Arabidopsis thaliana: one gene and its partners. The protein of the gene in region 1 interacts with the protein of each later gene in a pairwise test. Each region holds a gene or a part of one and is shown on either strand. Other genes may lie near its edges.

What was found.
Region 2: the proteins of HAM2 (region 1) and AT3G13227 interact in a two-hybrid assay, tested with the Arabidopsis thaliana proteins (one large-scale study listed by BioGRID).
Region 3: the proteins of HAM2 (region 1) and ckl3 interact in a two-hybrid assay, tested with the Arabidopsis thaliana proteins (one large-scale study listed by BioGRID).

The regions. Positions count from the first base shown.
Region 1 is NC_003074.8:22,409,611-22,414,326, forward strand, and holds HAM2 (GRAS family transcription factor), read right to left. Parts: upstream 3,054-4,716; 5' UTR 2,758-3,053; coding exon 886-2,757; 3' UTR 630-885; downstream 1-629.
Region 2 is NC_003074.8:4,256,297-4,259,255, reverse strand, and holds AT3G13227 (serine-rich protein-like protein), read right to left. Parts: upstream 1,375-2,959; 5' UTR 1,229-1,374; coding exon 893-1,228; 3' UTR 608-892; downstream 1-607. Other genes in the region: AT3G13225 (WW domain-containing protein), read left to right, coding at 39-156, 245-328; AT3G13224 (RNA-binding (RRM/RBD/RNP motifs) family protein), read right to left, coding at 2,635-2,959.
Region 3 is NC_003075.7:14,249,111-14,255,450, forward strand, and holds ckl3 (casein kinase I-like 3), read left to right. Parts: upstream 1-2,024; 5' UTR 2,025-2,240; coding exon 2,241-2,316; intron 2,317-2,412; coding exon 2,413-2,453; intron 2,454-2,655; coding exon 2,656-2,725; intron 2,726-2,814; coding exon 2,815-2,963; intron 2,964-3,066; coding exon 3,067-3,162; intron 3,163-3,239; coding exon 3,240-3,310; intron 3,311-3,420; coding exon 3,421-3,482; intron 3,483-3,557; coding exon 3,558-3,621; intron 3,622-3,747; coding exon 3,748-3,832; intron 3,833-3,911; coding exon 3,912-4,038; intron 4,039-4,145; coding exon 4,146-4,222; intron 4,223-4,310; coding exon 4,311-4,368; intron 4,369-4,443; coding exon 4,444-4,580; intron 4,581-4,803; coding exon 4,804-4,938; 3' UTR 4,939-5,836; downstream 5,837-6,340. Other genes in the region: ckl4 (casein kinase I-like 4), read left to right, coding at 1-87; AT4G28870 (mutator transposase MUDRA protein), read left to right, coding at 1,311-1,610. UniProt on the Arabidopsis thaliana protein: Protein kinase involved in blue light responses (e.g. hypocotyl elongation and flowering) by phosphorylating CRY2 to reduce its stability.

The DNA of each region.
Region 1 (4,716 bases):
TTGTACAAATATGATTTATAAATGATGTTTATTTACTGTTGTGGTTTTGAACTCTATTTTGATGAGCTTTCTCCACTGTTTAAGATTATGTTGATTCACTTTCACAAACGCATACAATAATCATTTACATCTTTTTGTTTTGTTTTTAAAGTTAGGTATGAGAGTAAACACGACATCGCCGGATGATTTGCCAGCACAAGCCAATATCATCACATCCAATTTCCAAACTCCTTGCAACATCATGGTCATCACGGGGGACATCGATTTCAAAAGACCGATCCGGTTATTAAGAGCTTGTGGAATTACTATCTTCATGGAAAAACTTCCAAAATGCAAGACTAAACTTATAAACGCTGCTACTGCCAAAGACCCTCCTGGTTACCCTCTTGGTTACACGTTCGAATTCCAAGACATTTTGAGGATCTGATTGAGTTTTTTTGCATTGGTTTAGAGCTTTCTCCACAAATCTCTTATTTATCAGTGTTCGTTTGTTAGATTAAGGTTAAGGATTACTACTATGCTTAGTATTTGAATAAAGAACTACGAATTTAGTATAGTCGACCTTCCAAGAGAAAAATGAAATTTGTGTAAGGCAGCTTAAGTTTTAGTTTTTTTTTTTTTTTTTTGAGAAACCTCTTAATCTTTAGTACCTATAACATATTACATGTCAAATCTTCTGTCTCTTAAAAAATGAAGTATTAAAGGATCCATATCTCAGTATGCAGAAATATAAAAAGGAAAAAAAAGAAAGACTAACATAAGGAGATTATATATATATCATTTGATTGGTTAACATCACAATCAAACATATTAAAACGTGATCTAACCCAAATTGAAAAGCTACAAAAAGAAAATTAAACCGTGAAAATATCCTCCTTTTTCGTCTTAACATTTCCAAGCTGAGACAGTAACAAGTTCTTTCCTCTGCCAACACAAGACAAGTGAAGGCGACGAAGACTGTCTCTTCTCCAAGTGAAACCCTCTCATTGGATTCCTCTGCAACAAATACTCCGCTTGTGTCTCCGCCGTCTGACTCAGCGTCACAGGAGTAAACCCACATTGCCCAAATAAGCTTCTCCACGGCGGTGATCTCTCCATCCAACGGTAACGATTCGTCAACAGTTTCTGTATCGACGGTTGCACACAAAACCTCTCAATACTCGTAGCAGCTTCCGCATTATTCAGATTCCCAGAGTCGAGAGACTCGAGCAGAGATGTGTAGTACTGAAGCGCGTTAATCACACCGTTAGGGAACGGCGCGTCGTTGTTACGGTCGCAGCTTCTGTCTGAGCAAACGACGACGTTTGGTGAGATTTGCTTGAGGAAACGAAGTATCAATGGGAGGTAACCGGAGACCATGGAGCTGATTGGGAGATTCACAGCGATTGCTTCTTTCTCCGATGATCGGAATAAAGACAGTGGCCAATAAGTTGGATTCAAGAGAATCTCCATGTTTAAGAGCTCGATTTCGAAGGAGACACCTGTTTCGCCGGCGAAGCTTCTGAGATTTTCTTCAGTGAATCGGAGCTCGAATTCGTCGGAGACAGTTGAAGGAGAAGCGAAAGCTGTAATCTTTAGCGACGGAGCTGATGAAGATCTGTTTCTTTTTCCGGCGAGCTCTTGAATCAGAGACGCCCATTGACCTCCATAACCGATATCGAAATCGACAATGTGGATCCGATCAAACCCTTCGAATGACTCGAGAATCGTTTGGTTTGCTGTGAAGTTGACGAATTGAAGAAACGGTGACGTTTCTGAGAAAGCTCTGTAAGCTGCGATCCGAAAGATTAGGTTTTGAGGAGGTGAGAGAGACGGTGGTGATAATGATGAGTCTTGAAGGAGAGAGTGAAGAGCTTCTGTTATATACGAAGCTGCTCTGTGGAACGGAGGTTTAGGATTGTTGTTAGTGTCGTCGTTGTTGTTGTTAAGGTTGTGATTGAGCCGCGCCAATATCCCTTGCGCGAGAACGGGATTGTTATCTCCGCCGTTTGTGGTGAGCTCCGCCGCCGCAGAGAATAGCTGGTCGATGATTACCGCTGACTGGTCTTGGTCGTTTTGGTCTTCTCCGGCTATCTTTGGCGGTGTGAGAAACGGGTCGTGAGATTCGTGACCCGGATCCGAGAACGGGAAAACCCACTGGAGGTGTTGAGATCCGGGTTGACCCGAATTGAGCCGTTTCGCAGGAGGAGACGACGGAGGATCCGAGAAGAAACCCGGATTTGGGTTTATTGAAATCTGAAACTTTTCTTCTTCCGGTGCGTTTTGAAAAGGGAAGCCATATCCAAAGAGTGGATTAGGATTATCAATAACCGGGTCGGATCCAGAACCGATGTCGAAACCCACAAACTCCGAACCCGGATCCACTACATCGCCAGCCATGATTAATCTAAAAATACTCTGTTCTTGTCCCGGCGAGCCACCGGAGAGAACACCATCGAGATCCTCGAAACCCATTTGGTCGCATTTCCCATCGGCGCCGGAAAAAGTAGCAGCAGCAGCGCCGCCGCCGCTGGGACCACCGTGAGAAGAAGACAGCGTGGTGGTTGAAGAAGAGACGAAAGGGCTTGGACTTCTAACAGAGTCTAAAACAGACGTCGGCTCCGAGAAACCACCATTGTTGACAACAAAGCAGAGATCTTCTTCTACTCGTCCATGGAGCTTCTCTGGATTAGCCCAGATTTTGTATCCCGGAGAAGAAGAAGAATCTAAGAAACCCAGAACCCCCTTCCCTTGAAATTGCTCAAAGGGCAGGGGCATGACCAATCTTACAGAGTCAGAAAGAGAATTTAAGAGTGAGAACAAAGAAACCCAGAAAAACCCTAGATCTCAGAACTTAAAGAGGAAGACGAAGATGAAAGCTTGAAACTGAAATTGGCGCCCACATTATCTCACACTCGGTATTAATAACAATCTTTCTTCTCGTTGCTTATGTATATTGACTCTGGATGATTCCAACAACATTCCAAAGTGATGATCTTCATAAAAAATGCTCTCTTTTTTTTTTTTTTAAGTAAAGGATTTGGTTTTTGCTGTGTGTGTGGTGCCTTGTGTCTGTAGATTTACTTATCTACATCTGTACTCATTTTATATCCCCTCGTTTCTAACCCTACTCGCACTTACGGCGCGTCACTCTTACTCTCCAAGAGATCATTGATTATATAAGTTTAAGCCATGAAAATCGAAATCAAAGTGTCATTAATCGAATAAATTTAGCCTTAATCATAAATTGACTAAATTACTATGATGACAACATAATAAATAAGGAAAACACTGGATTGAGGAAAAAAAAAACAAGGAAACCAATAAATTTTATGCATATCGACAAAATTACTATTCTACATTTTTCGTAAATTTTGTTCGATTTATAAAATAAACTTGCATCTTGTAAAATAATTTGTTATTTAGTGAAATAGCAATTGGGTGATTTAATATATATGTGCAGTAACATGTTTTATATTAAATAGTATGATAGTAAAAATATACTTCATTATATATGTATAAAAACTAAGTCAAGGGTCAAATGAAAATGAACCAAAAGATTTTTGTTCTTTTTTCTTCAAACCAATAGATTTGTTTACTTAAAGGATGTGTCAAATGTTTGACAAAAAAAAAAGGATGTGTCAAATTTATTTTTGAAATTACAGGTAAAAAACATTTTGAGAGCGAAATCGTAAAAATACTTAAAATAGTCAAAATTATTTACTTATTTATTAAGAATATGGGATCATATAGTGTATAATTCATTAGATCAAACTAAATAAGTAATAGGAGTATGAAGAAAAGAAAGAAAATAAATTGAATTGTCGAAACCCAAAAACCTAAAAGAGTCAGTTATTAGTTGATTGTCTTACAGTAAGTAATTCAATAGTCCAGAACTGTTGAGGCGCGTTAGATAACGATCAATCTGAAAGACAGTACTATTAAAAAAATCAAAAACATATACCGAGGTTTCAGAGCAAAAAGCGAATTTGATACAGATGGCTTTATTGTTAATCATTGTTTTCCATAATTACCCTTGCTTTCTATTAACACACTCTGTTTTTTTTTTTTATCTAACGGTTGAAATTGCATGAACTCTGGAGAAGATCTCATGGCTCTAGTCTAGATTTTTTATAAACTAACTAATAAATGACATATTGACTATAAAATCTTGCATTTGCTAATCAAGTTTAATTTTGAACGACAAGTAGACACGGTCAAAACTAAAATTATGACAAATCTTTAGCCTATGTTAGTTGATGTTTACACGTGTTTGCGATAATCAAATCGTTTTATTCCACCATTCTTTTCTAAAATCATCTATATCATTTCTTCTTCTTTTTTTCACTTCTTTGACAAACTTGAAATACTTAAGTGGCCGTTTATTGGTGGCGGTAATAGAATAGAGGATACCAAAAGGAGATTAAAAAGAAAAGAGGTGGAGCTGGATTGCGAAGACAAGTTGGAACTTTTGGTAGTTTGTGTGTGAATGGAAGGGAGACATGGCTTATGTGATTGCCCTAAACATATTTCTATTTTTTAAGCCAAAATAATATAAAAACAAAAATCTTTGTAATTGGACATTGTAATAATGGGAGACATGTTTTTTTTCCTCCAAGACAAACAAGAAACCTCCATGTGAATTTCCACCACCTTGTAATATGTCTAACAACATGTATTCTATTAAACTAGTATTTCTTTCTGCTTTGTTGTTATATTTTAGGATTAAAAAATGAC
Region 2 (2,959 bases), about 18 Mb from region 1:
GATTTAATTAGTTAAATCTGGTTGTATGATGTGATTAGGCGTGAGAAAGTGAAACGGAAGAGAGAACGAGCTGAGAAGTCTCAGAAGAAAGACCCCGAAAAGCAGCAAAAACCTGATCTAACAAAACTCTCAGCAAATCTCCCGTCGGAATGGCAGGTATTAAGTTTCACCATTCCACTAGCGTTTGATTTGTAAATGAGTACGCAGTTGCTAAAACATTGTCACTTGACTATCTCTCTTGTAGGCATATTGGGACGAATCTACCAAAAAAGTTTACTATGGGAATACGAGTACATCTCAAACCAGTTGGACACGACCCACTACCTGAACCTCAATTGCTTTCTCGTCTCACATTTTTTACAATTTCTTCTGTGATACATTTGTTTTAGATTCTCTAATCTTACCTTTATGTAAATTTATTACAGAGCTAGTGTTGGTGACATATAGACAAAGCTAAATCAAGAAAATATCATTTTACCATTTCCCAATGCTAACGTAATACTATAATTTGTTCCCTTAATCCTATTCCCTAACGTGACTTGTATTGAGTGACAAGATTTGGAAACTCAATTTCTCCATATGTCCAAACACAATGTTTAAAACGACCGAGTAGCGCCGACTAGGTGCTCATAGACGTTGTACAAATCCAACCTTGCCGGCTGAACTATATGGTTTATGATTTGTTCTCTAGCATTCTCGTCTAGGCGGGTCTTGGCGCATTTTGTACTTTTAACCGATGCAAACAAAAATCACGATCATTTGAATTTATTTCATTTGTGCAAACAGCAAAGTGAATATCCAGAGATTTCTCGACTTATGCATTTTTGTATATACACAGACACATACGAGAATTTTAAATTGATGAGAAGAAACACATAATATATATTAATCATCACTTGGGAGAATTAGAGTCTCCACCAGCCAACATGGAAAGGTTAGAGGGAACGGATGTGCCACGAGACATCCCGAGTCCAGCGTTACGACGGTGGTAACGGCACCTGAAGGAGCCAGGGTGTGTAGTTGGTGCGCATAAACAGTTTTGCCTCACGCTCGATGACTTGCTCATACCTACCGAGCCACCGCCACCACCACCACCACGACGTACGCGTGGAGACATGTTGTAAGCTTCTTGTCTTTTAATGTCGTCTTGGCTTACGTCTGCTTCTGTCTCCTTAAGTTTGATCTTCATCATCATCCTCCTCTTTGCTTCTTCCTCTTTCCCTTCCATTTGTGTTTTTTCTTTTTCCTTCCCCTTCTTCTGTGTTTCTTTCTCTACCTTTTTACGAATAGAGAAAACTCTAAAAAATAGTCGGAATTGTGAAACTGGTGAAAGAAAAAAAGATTTGTAGAGTTATAAAAGAGAAGTTAATGTAAACATTATGTATCTAAAAATAGTGATTTTCCTTTGTGTCCTTTCTTTGCGGTTCTGAATATCCGAGGTTGTCGTTTTCTTTGCAGTAAAATCGTCAATTAAATAGAGAGATTTGGAATCGACCAAACAAAATATATGGAGATTTTGGAAAATCGTTTTTGCATTTCAAAAATAGATAGAATGGATTTCAGAACTTAAAATTCTAGGTGTAAAAACAATACGTTCGTTTACACTTTACTCTACTGCTAAGATCGGCCTTAAAGCATTGAGATTAAAATCATGTTTACACTTTACACCTTCGTTTTAATCACTAATTAAGATTATCAACTATGATTGGGTAGACCTTTTATGTATTATGTATTTTTGTCAACTCTTTTTAATGTGTCGTACGTGTGACACATTCGTCGTCATAAATTTTTGAAAACTTTGTCTTAGAATTGTCTCTTTGCTGTTTGTATCATTCAATCCTTGCACTTAAAACGTAAAAGAGTTTGGATTTCAATTAACTTATAAAAGCATGTACAATAAGTGATATTCATTTAATGATACAGTACATCATTTTGACGAGAAATTACAGATAACAAAACCCACATTATTAGAACCAATGTCTAACCAATTATCCGTGGCCCTTACCCGAAAAAATAAGGAAACAAGAACCAAATAACCATGCTTGTATAGATGATTTTCAAAAACATTTATAATTGATTTTACGTTTTCAAACACATACAATTCCAATTTGTAGCTAGAACCTACGTATGCAGCTGACAAAAATATGCCTACTTACACATGCACTAACTGCCGTCAAACCTTTGTTCAGCACAACAAAATGTACAGAGATACAAGAGACCACATAAAGCATTCAACTTGAGCTCTAAAGAATAGATGAGTGCACATTTTGCAGAGCTTCTTAAGCTAATTCGTATGATTGTGAAAACTAAGCTAAGCGAGTAATTGATCATCTAACAAGACTACCAAATGATAAATCATTCTTGTGCCAGTGAGAAACAAACTCCAAGCCCAAATATGCTAAAGTCTACATAACACAATCTAAGTTATAGAGATAAGACAACACTTAAATTAGGTAAACACACAACTAAAAGATGACTAATAAAAGCTTTTTGATGCTCTTCCTGTCCTTAGCAACCCTTCCTGATGTTGGCGCTACATGATAACTCTAGAATGCACCTAGAGCAATTGGAACAATCTAGAGGAACCTGTGAGAGAAGCTTCTATAGCTCCAACTGATTGCTATTACCTCGACCCTACCTTGCATACGGATGGTATCGACTACTGCTACTATAACCCCTCCCATATGGACCACCTGCTCCTTCATAACTGCCACCTGGGCCACCAGATTCATATGCACCGCCGTAACCAGGCCCACCATATCCCCCATAGCCTTCCCCTCCTCCACGAGGATATCCCAAATAGGCTCCTTCTCCTCCACGGCCATATCCCTCACCACCAAACCCACTCCCATAGGGTCCAAAACGACTAGAATAGCCAAGGGGTGGTTCATTCCGGTAACCTCCTAAACTACCACCCCCATAATTATTATAACCTCCTCCAAATTCAGGGCCTACACTG
Region 3 (6,340 bases), on another chromosome or scaffold:
GTCAGACCCGAAACCTCAAATTCTGGGTTTGGGAGCGGGAATAAAACCGGCGGTTGGACTTCACCATTCATGTCACCGGGGAAATGATGCAAAAAAAGTTGGAGTATATCATTCATCTGATCTGCTGAGCAAGATTATGTGTGCCTTTGGGTCTAAACTGTGATTTCTGCAGTGAAAAGCTCTAGACTGAGGTTGAAGATCTGAATGGAGTTTTTCCATGAACAGCTTACTGTTTGACAAAAGGCATGAAGATTATGTTTGCTTTCCTTCAAGATTCTCACAAATGACTGACTTCAACCTTTGTATAAAATCTTGCAACCGGGCGTGTAATTTGGTTCTTGTGATTCATTCTCCCAAGTTTTCTTCTATAAAACTTTGTTCGTATTTCTGTACGTAGTTCCCTGTGTTGGGGCATAACCTGGGTTTGCTGTGTCATCAACATTGTTTGCAGAAAATCAAGAGCAAAGCATGAGCAGCTTCAGCAGAGATGCCTTCAAAGGCTTGAGTCAAGAGTTGCTTGTGGCAGGGACATGTCACCATCAAGCTAATGTGCAGCTGACGAGAACGTAAAAGGATAAGCTATGGCTAGCTTCTGGAATGCTCCGAGAAACACTTCCCCCTTTTTTTTTCTCTGAATTTCCTATTCAGTTTAATGGTATTCTGTGTTTGATTTTTCTTACTCGATTTTGTGCATTGAAAAAAATTATATCAAAAAGCTTGACTTGATCCAAACATGCATTTTCAATTGCTATTATTAAAAAAAAAAAACGTATAAAATTGTAGTCTCAATATTGAAATACAAACACCTAGAATTGATCGATTTGGTAGAGAACTAGTTAGTGGATTAAATTTGGGTTGGCTGATTTTCGAGCCATAAACTATTTCGATTCTCAGCTTTCACACCCGGACTTTTGGGCCTTTAAATTTCCACCATCAACTTTCATATTCCCAAAATTACATCATCTATTTTTGGATTCATGCTTAAACATACATTTCCAATTGAACCATTCATTTAACCGGGATTAACCACAAATCCGCGTTTACTGTACCGCGATTGCGATTAACCCAACTAATACCCAGACCCGTTAAGAAAACGACGTCGTTTTCATTTCGTTTAACTCATCAAAAAGAGAAAGAAAACGACGTCGTTTTCATTCTTCTTCTTTAACTCTCAAATCGATTTAGTCGTTCTTCTTTAATCTCGACACTGTGAAATTAGGGTTCTTGAGAGAGAAAGACAAAAGGGGATTTGGGGTTTTCTTCTTCGGTTCGAATTTTTGGGTCTCGATTTGGGTTTCGAATAGGGAGAAATGAAGAATTGGTGGGAGGAAAGATTGATTTACCAAAGCGATCCAGATGACCCCGATTTCGAACCTCCAGAGAGTGACATTGAAGCCGACGATGGAAGTGATAGTGGTGATAGCGGAGTCGAGGAGGACGAAGCCACCAGAATCGAGGGAGAGGACGTCGGGATAGATGGAGACAGAGCTTCTGATGGAGAGGAAAATAGAGAAGACGATGGTGACATAGCGTCTGATGGAGACGTCAATCTAGAAGACGATGGAGACAGAGATGAAAGTCAAAAGAAGAGGACTACCAAATCGATTTGAGAGTTAAAGAAGAAGAATGAAAACGACGTCGTTTTCTTAACGGGTCTGGGTATTAGTCGGGTTAATCACAATCGCGGTACAGTAAACGCGGATTTGTGGTTAATCCCGGTTAAATGAATGGTTCAATTGAAAATGTATGTTTAATCATGAATTCGAAAGTAGATGATGTAATTTTGAGGAATATGAAAATTGATGGTGGAAATTTAAGGGCCCAAAAATCCGGGAGTGAAAACTAAGAATCGAAATAGTTTATGACTCGAAAATCAGCCAACCCATTAAATTTTCGAACCTTCATCATTTTGCAGACCCCAAAAACGGAAATCATCAAATCATCCACCGTGCCAGCGTGACATTACAAAATCACGTAAATACCCTCGTGTTTGTTTATAAGGTAAAAAAAGATTGGCGGACCCAAAATGGTGCAGTAGTTAGGTGTACAAATTTTTTTTTGAAGGATCACTACTACGGCTCAAACAAGCCTGGGTCCATGTCACTACCACCGATGTCAGTCAAACAAAAATAATAATATATGTTTTTAAGTTCCTCTAATTTCAATCTTCTAAACAACAACCCTAAATCCTTATCTCTATCCTTGCGCTTGATCCAGATTCGGTTCTGATTGGAGCTGCCATGGAACGCATCATCGGCGGCAAGTACAAGCTCGGACGGAAGATCGGCGGTGGTTCGTTCGGAGAGATTTTTCTAGGTTTTGTGTTCTCCTCTGTTCTTGTCCCTTTGGTTTTCCGAGTTTGCTTTTTTATTTGAAATTGACGCTCTTCTCTTCTGTTTGTTGTTTTCGCAGCTACGCACGTCGATACCTTCGAGATCGTAGCTGTTAAGATCGTAAGTCCCAGCTCAATTTGCCTTGAGACGAATTGAATCCATCCAATCTGGAGATTTGATTTGGATCTGCTATGTCTCTTAATTGATTTTGTTTGAATTGCTTTACTCTAAAATTGAGCAAGGTTTTAAACTCGGTGCTTTTTAGCTGCAATATATTCTTCAAGCTAACACTTGTTTTTAATTCAATCATTTTCTCTTGCAGGAGAACAGTAAAACAAAGCATCCTCAACTTCTCTATGAAGCTAAGCTATATAGAATTCTTGAAGGAGGAAGTATGATTCTCTTTCCTCTCTTTTCTCAGTTGTTGGACATTGGAGGGATTCATTAGCAGTACAATACTAATTTTTATGTTATGTGTCAGGTGGAATTCCGCGCATAAAATGGTTTGGAGTTGATGGAACAGAGAATGCTTTAGTGATGGATTTGCTCGGTCCAAGTCTCGAAGATCTTTTCGTCTACTGTGGGAGGAAATTCTCACCAAAGACAGTCTTGATGTTGGCTGATCAAATGGTATGGCATGACTTTCAACTATTCATTAGGCTATTTATAATATCTGTTGACTTATACATTGATTATCTAATGTGCTTCCGATTTTCTTATCCCGCTGTTACAGCTAACAAGAATAGAATTTGTACATTCGAAAGGATATCTGCATAGAGATATTAAACCCGATAACTTCCTCATGGGCCTAGGTCGGAAAGCAAATCAGGTATATTTCTGCAACTTCTTATCTTCATCAGATGCCATAAGTAGAGTATGGTATGATTGATAAGTCTCATTTTTCAGGTTTATCTAATTGACTTTGGACTTGCCAAAAGATATCGGGATGCCAACACCAACCGCCACATCCCTTACAGGTATTGTGGCCTTGGTTCAATATACAGATTGTAAATGATCTATCTGTTTTTAAGTTTTACGGTCACGTTAATCATTATACAACTTATTTCCTTTATTCGGCTATATTCAGGGAAAACAAGAATTTAACAGGAACTGCACGATATGCAAGTTGCAATACACATCTTGGAATTGGTAAGAAATGCTGGCATTCTTTATCCTTATGTAAAAGTAAATCGCTTTTGCTCATATTTTGGGTTCTCTTCACAGAGCAAAGTCGACGGGATGATCTAGAATCGCTGGGATATGTGCTTCTGTATTTCCTAAGAGGAAGGTGTGTTGTCTTTTTGAAAGAAACTAGTTAACATTATGTTATTTCGCAGGGTATTTCTATTCCTTGTTTTTAGAGATTTACTTAACTGTTTTTTGTGTTCCTCATTTCATGAACGTCCTTTTCTAGTCTTCCATGGCAGGGTCTTAAGGCTGTTGACAAGAAGCAAAAGTATGATAAAATCTGTGAGAAGAAGATATCAACTCCCATTGAGGTATGTTTCCCTATTGTGTGATTGATTCTTTTTTTGTTAATCCTCATTCGACTAAGTATATATCGATATCCCATTGCAGGTGCTATGCAAAAATCACCCTGTGGAGTTTGCATCATATTTTCATTACTGCCATACACTGACATTTGATCAGCGCCCAGATTATGGATTCTTGAAGCGGCTTTTTCGTGATTTATTTTCGCGGGAAGGTAGGTACTTTGGATAAAGACATCTCTTCATCATTCATAGTTCACTCAGCTGATAAGGTTCACCGGCATCATCTACCTACCTCACTATTATATGTTCTCTTTTGCAGGATATGAGTTCGACTATATATTTGACTGGACTATCATAAAGTATCAACAAGCACAGAAATCTAGAAATCAGTCTCAGGTATAGTTTTCAATGTTTTCTCAATCTTAATTTGCTGCTGTGTCACCTTTCTTGTTACTAACAAAAAGTATTGTCATTTCTACTGCAGGCAGTTCCTGGGTCTAGCAATCCTCGTGCAATGCCAGTGGACACAAGCAATCATCGGGGTTAGCTCTAATTAATAGCTTGTTGTTGCAATTGTTTATTTTGAAATCTCTGTTTTCTGACGCTCTGTTTGGCAGGAGGACCAAATATTTCTTATGAAGCCGAGGCCTCTGAACGCGTCAGATCGGCTAATGCCATTGGTCCAAGCCCACAGATAAATAATAATACTGCTGCAGGGAGGACTCCGGGGTTTGATCACCCTGTCCACAAGAATGTACGTATTTCTGCATTTGCCTCTTCCAAAGAACCGTTTTATTCTGCAAACTCGTTGCTTGTGTTAGCATGTCATGTATAGTATTACTCTCAGAACACTTCATGGTTCCCTGAAAACTGATTTTACCAGTATCGCTTTGTCAATTGTCATGAATTAATGAAACAATATATTGATCTTCGAGATGAGTTCCCTTGACTGTTATTTTACTGAAAACCCATTGCAGATGAACATGCCATCCACTTCATTATCTCCTGCGGGTACCTCAAAAAGAAATGTCGGACCCGAAACCTCAAATTCTGGATATGGGAGTGGGAATAGAACTGGTTGGACTTCGTCATTCATGTCTCCAGAGAAATGATGCAAAGAAAATGTAGCTTTTTCCTGAAATGGTGAGTGAGATGATGCGCTGTTAATGTGACTCCGTGCCCTTAATTCACCTCTGAAACTACAGCAGAAATCAGAACTTGGTGTCACTAACACCTTTGTATCTCCTCCACCTTTGGCTGGAAGAAAGATGCAATGGTTTCTATGTAAATTCTCTGAAGTGTGTGTGGACAAGAAGGCGTTGGTTGAAGCATTTGTGTTTACACACACAAGACATGAAAGTGTATGTGTGCTTTTCATTCAAAGATTTCCCCCAACCTTTGTATAATTCTTACACCCGGATGTGTAATCTTGTTATGTGATTCATACATATCATTTTTAGCTACTCTTTGCTATGTGATCAATGACCTTTTGCTGCAGCTTGATATATGTATACATGTTAATGGATAGCGTCATTCTTTGCAGAAATCCAGAGCCAAGCTTGAGCTGAGATGAGTCTTCAAAAGGCTTAGCAATGCACAGGTTTCTTTCACAGACGCCCAAGTTCGATTCTTATTTTTGTGCAATTGATTTATGAGGAAAGATTTTGAGAGTCAACATGGGATTCAAATAACTCGGAGACAGTGAGTAAGAAACTATTCTGGGAGAGAATAAAATGTTTGAGAGCTCATGAAGCCAGTTGAAAAACGATTTGATGCGCTCGGTCGGAGAAATCATCATCATGGAAGAGGCAGGTGACCAGGTGTAGGTTGTATTTGTACAGCTGTAATGGAAACCTATCTTAGGCCATAAGGGAAAATCCAATTTGTGTAAACTAAAGTAAGTTTGTCTTAAATTTCTTCATAGTGTTTAGTAATTAGTATCATATACTCTTCAATATTTGCTTTTAAATATTTCTGTTATCTTTATATATTGTGAAAATTGAAATCAAATCCAGACGGAACCTAAGTAATTGAAAACCAAAACAAAAATTAAATTGAAAGTAATTTACTACAATTTGAATTAAGCTACATCATTATTGTTTTTAAACGAAAATTTGATCCGATACCAACTCCAAAGAAGACTGAACTCTACTAGAAAGAAAGGGGCGTTATTCTAAAACAGGTCCATATTCAACCTAATACACCTATAATATAAAATAGTTTCGTTAGGTTCTATTTAATAATTTATTTTAAATTTAACTTCCATTCGTAATCGGCATAAGTTGGACCACATGATAAGTATGATGATGCAATGACTTGCTTTTTACATAACAACAATCTTTGGCCTCATCTACCTATTTCGCATTATAACATGTTCTTTGAATCGTTTCCCATTTTGTTTTTACATCATACAAACTTAAAAAGTTTCATCTACGGTGCTGCACCTGCACTCGAAGCAGCCCAGGTTCCATCGTGGTGTCCTTCGTTACAAAGTTAAGAAAGAGGTTCCAAAAT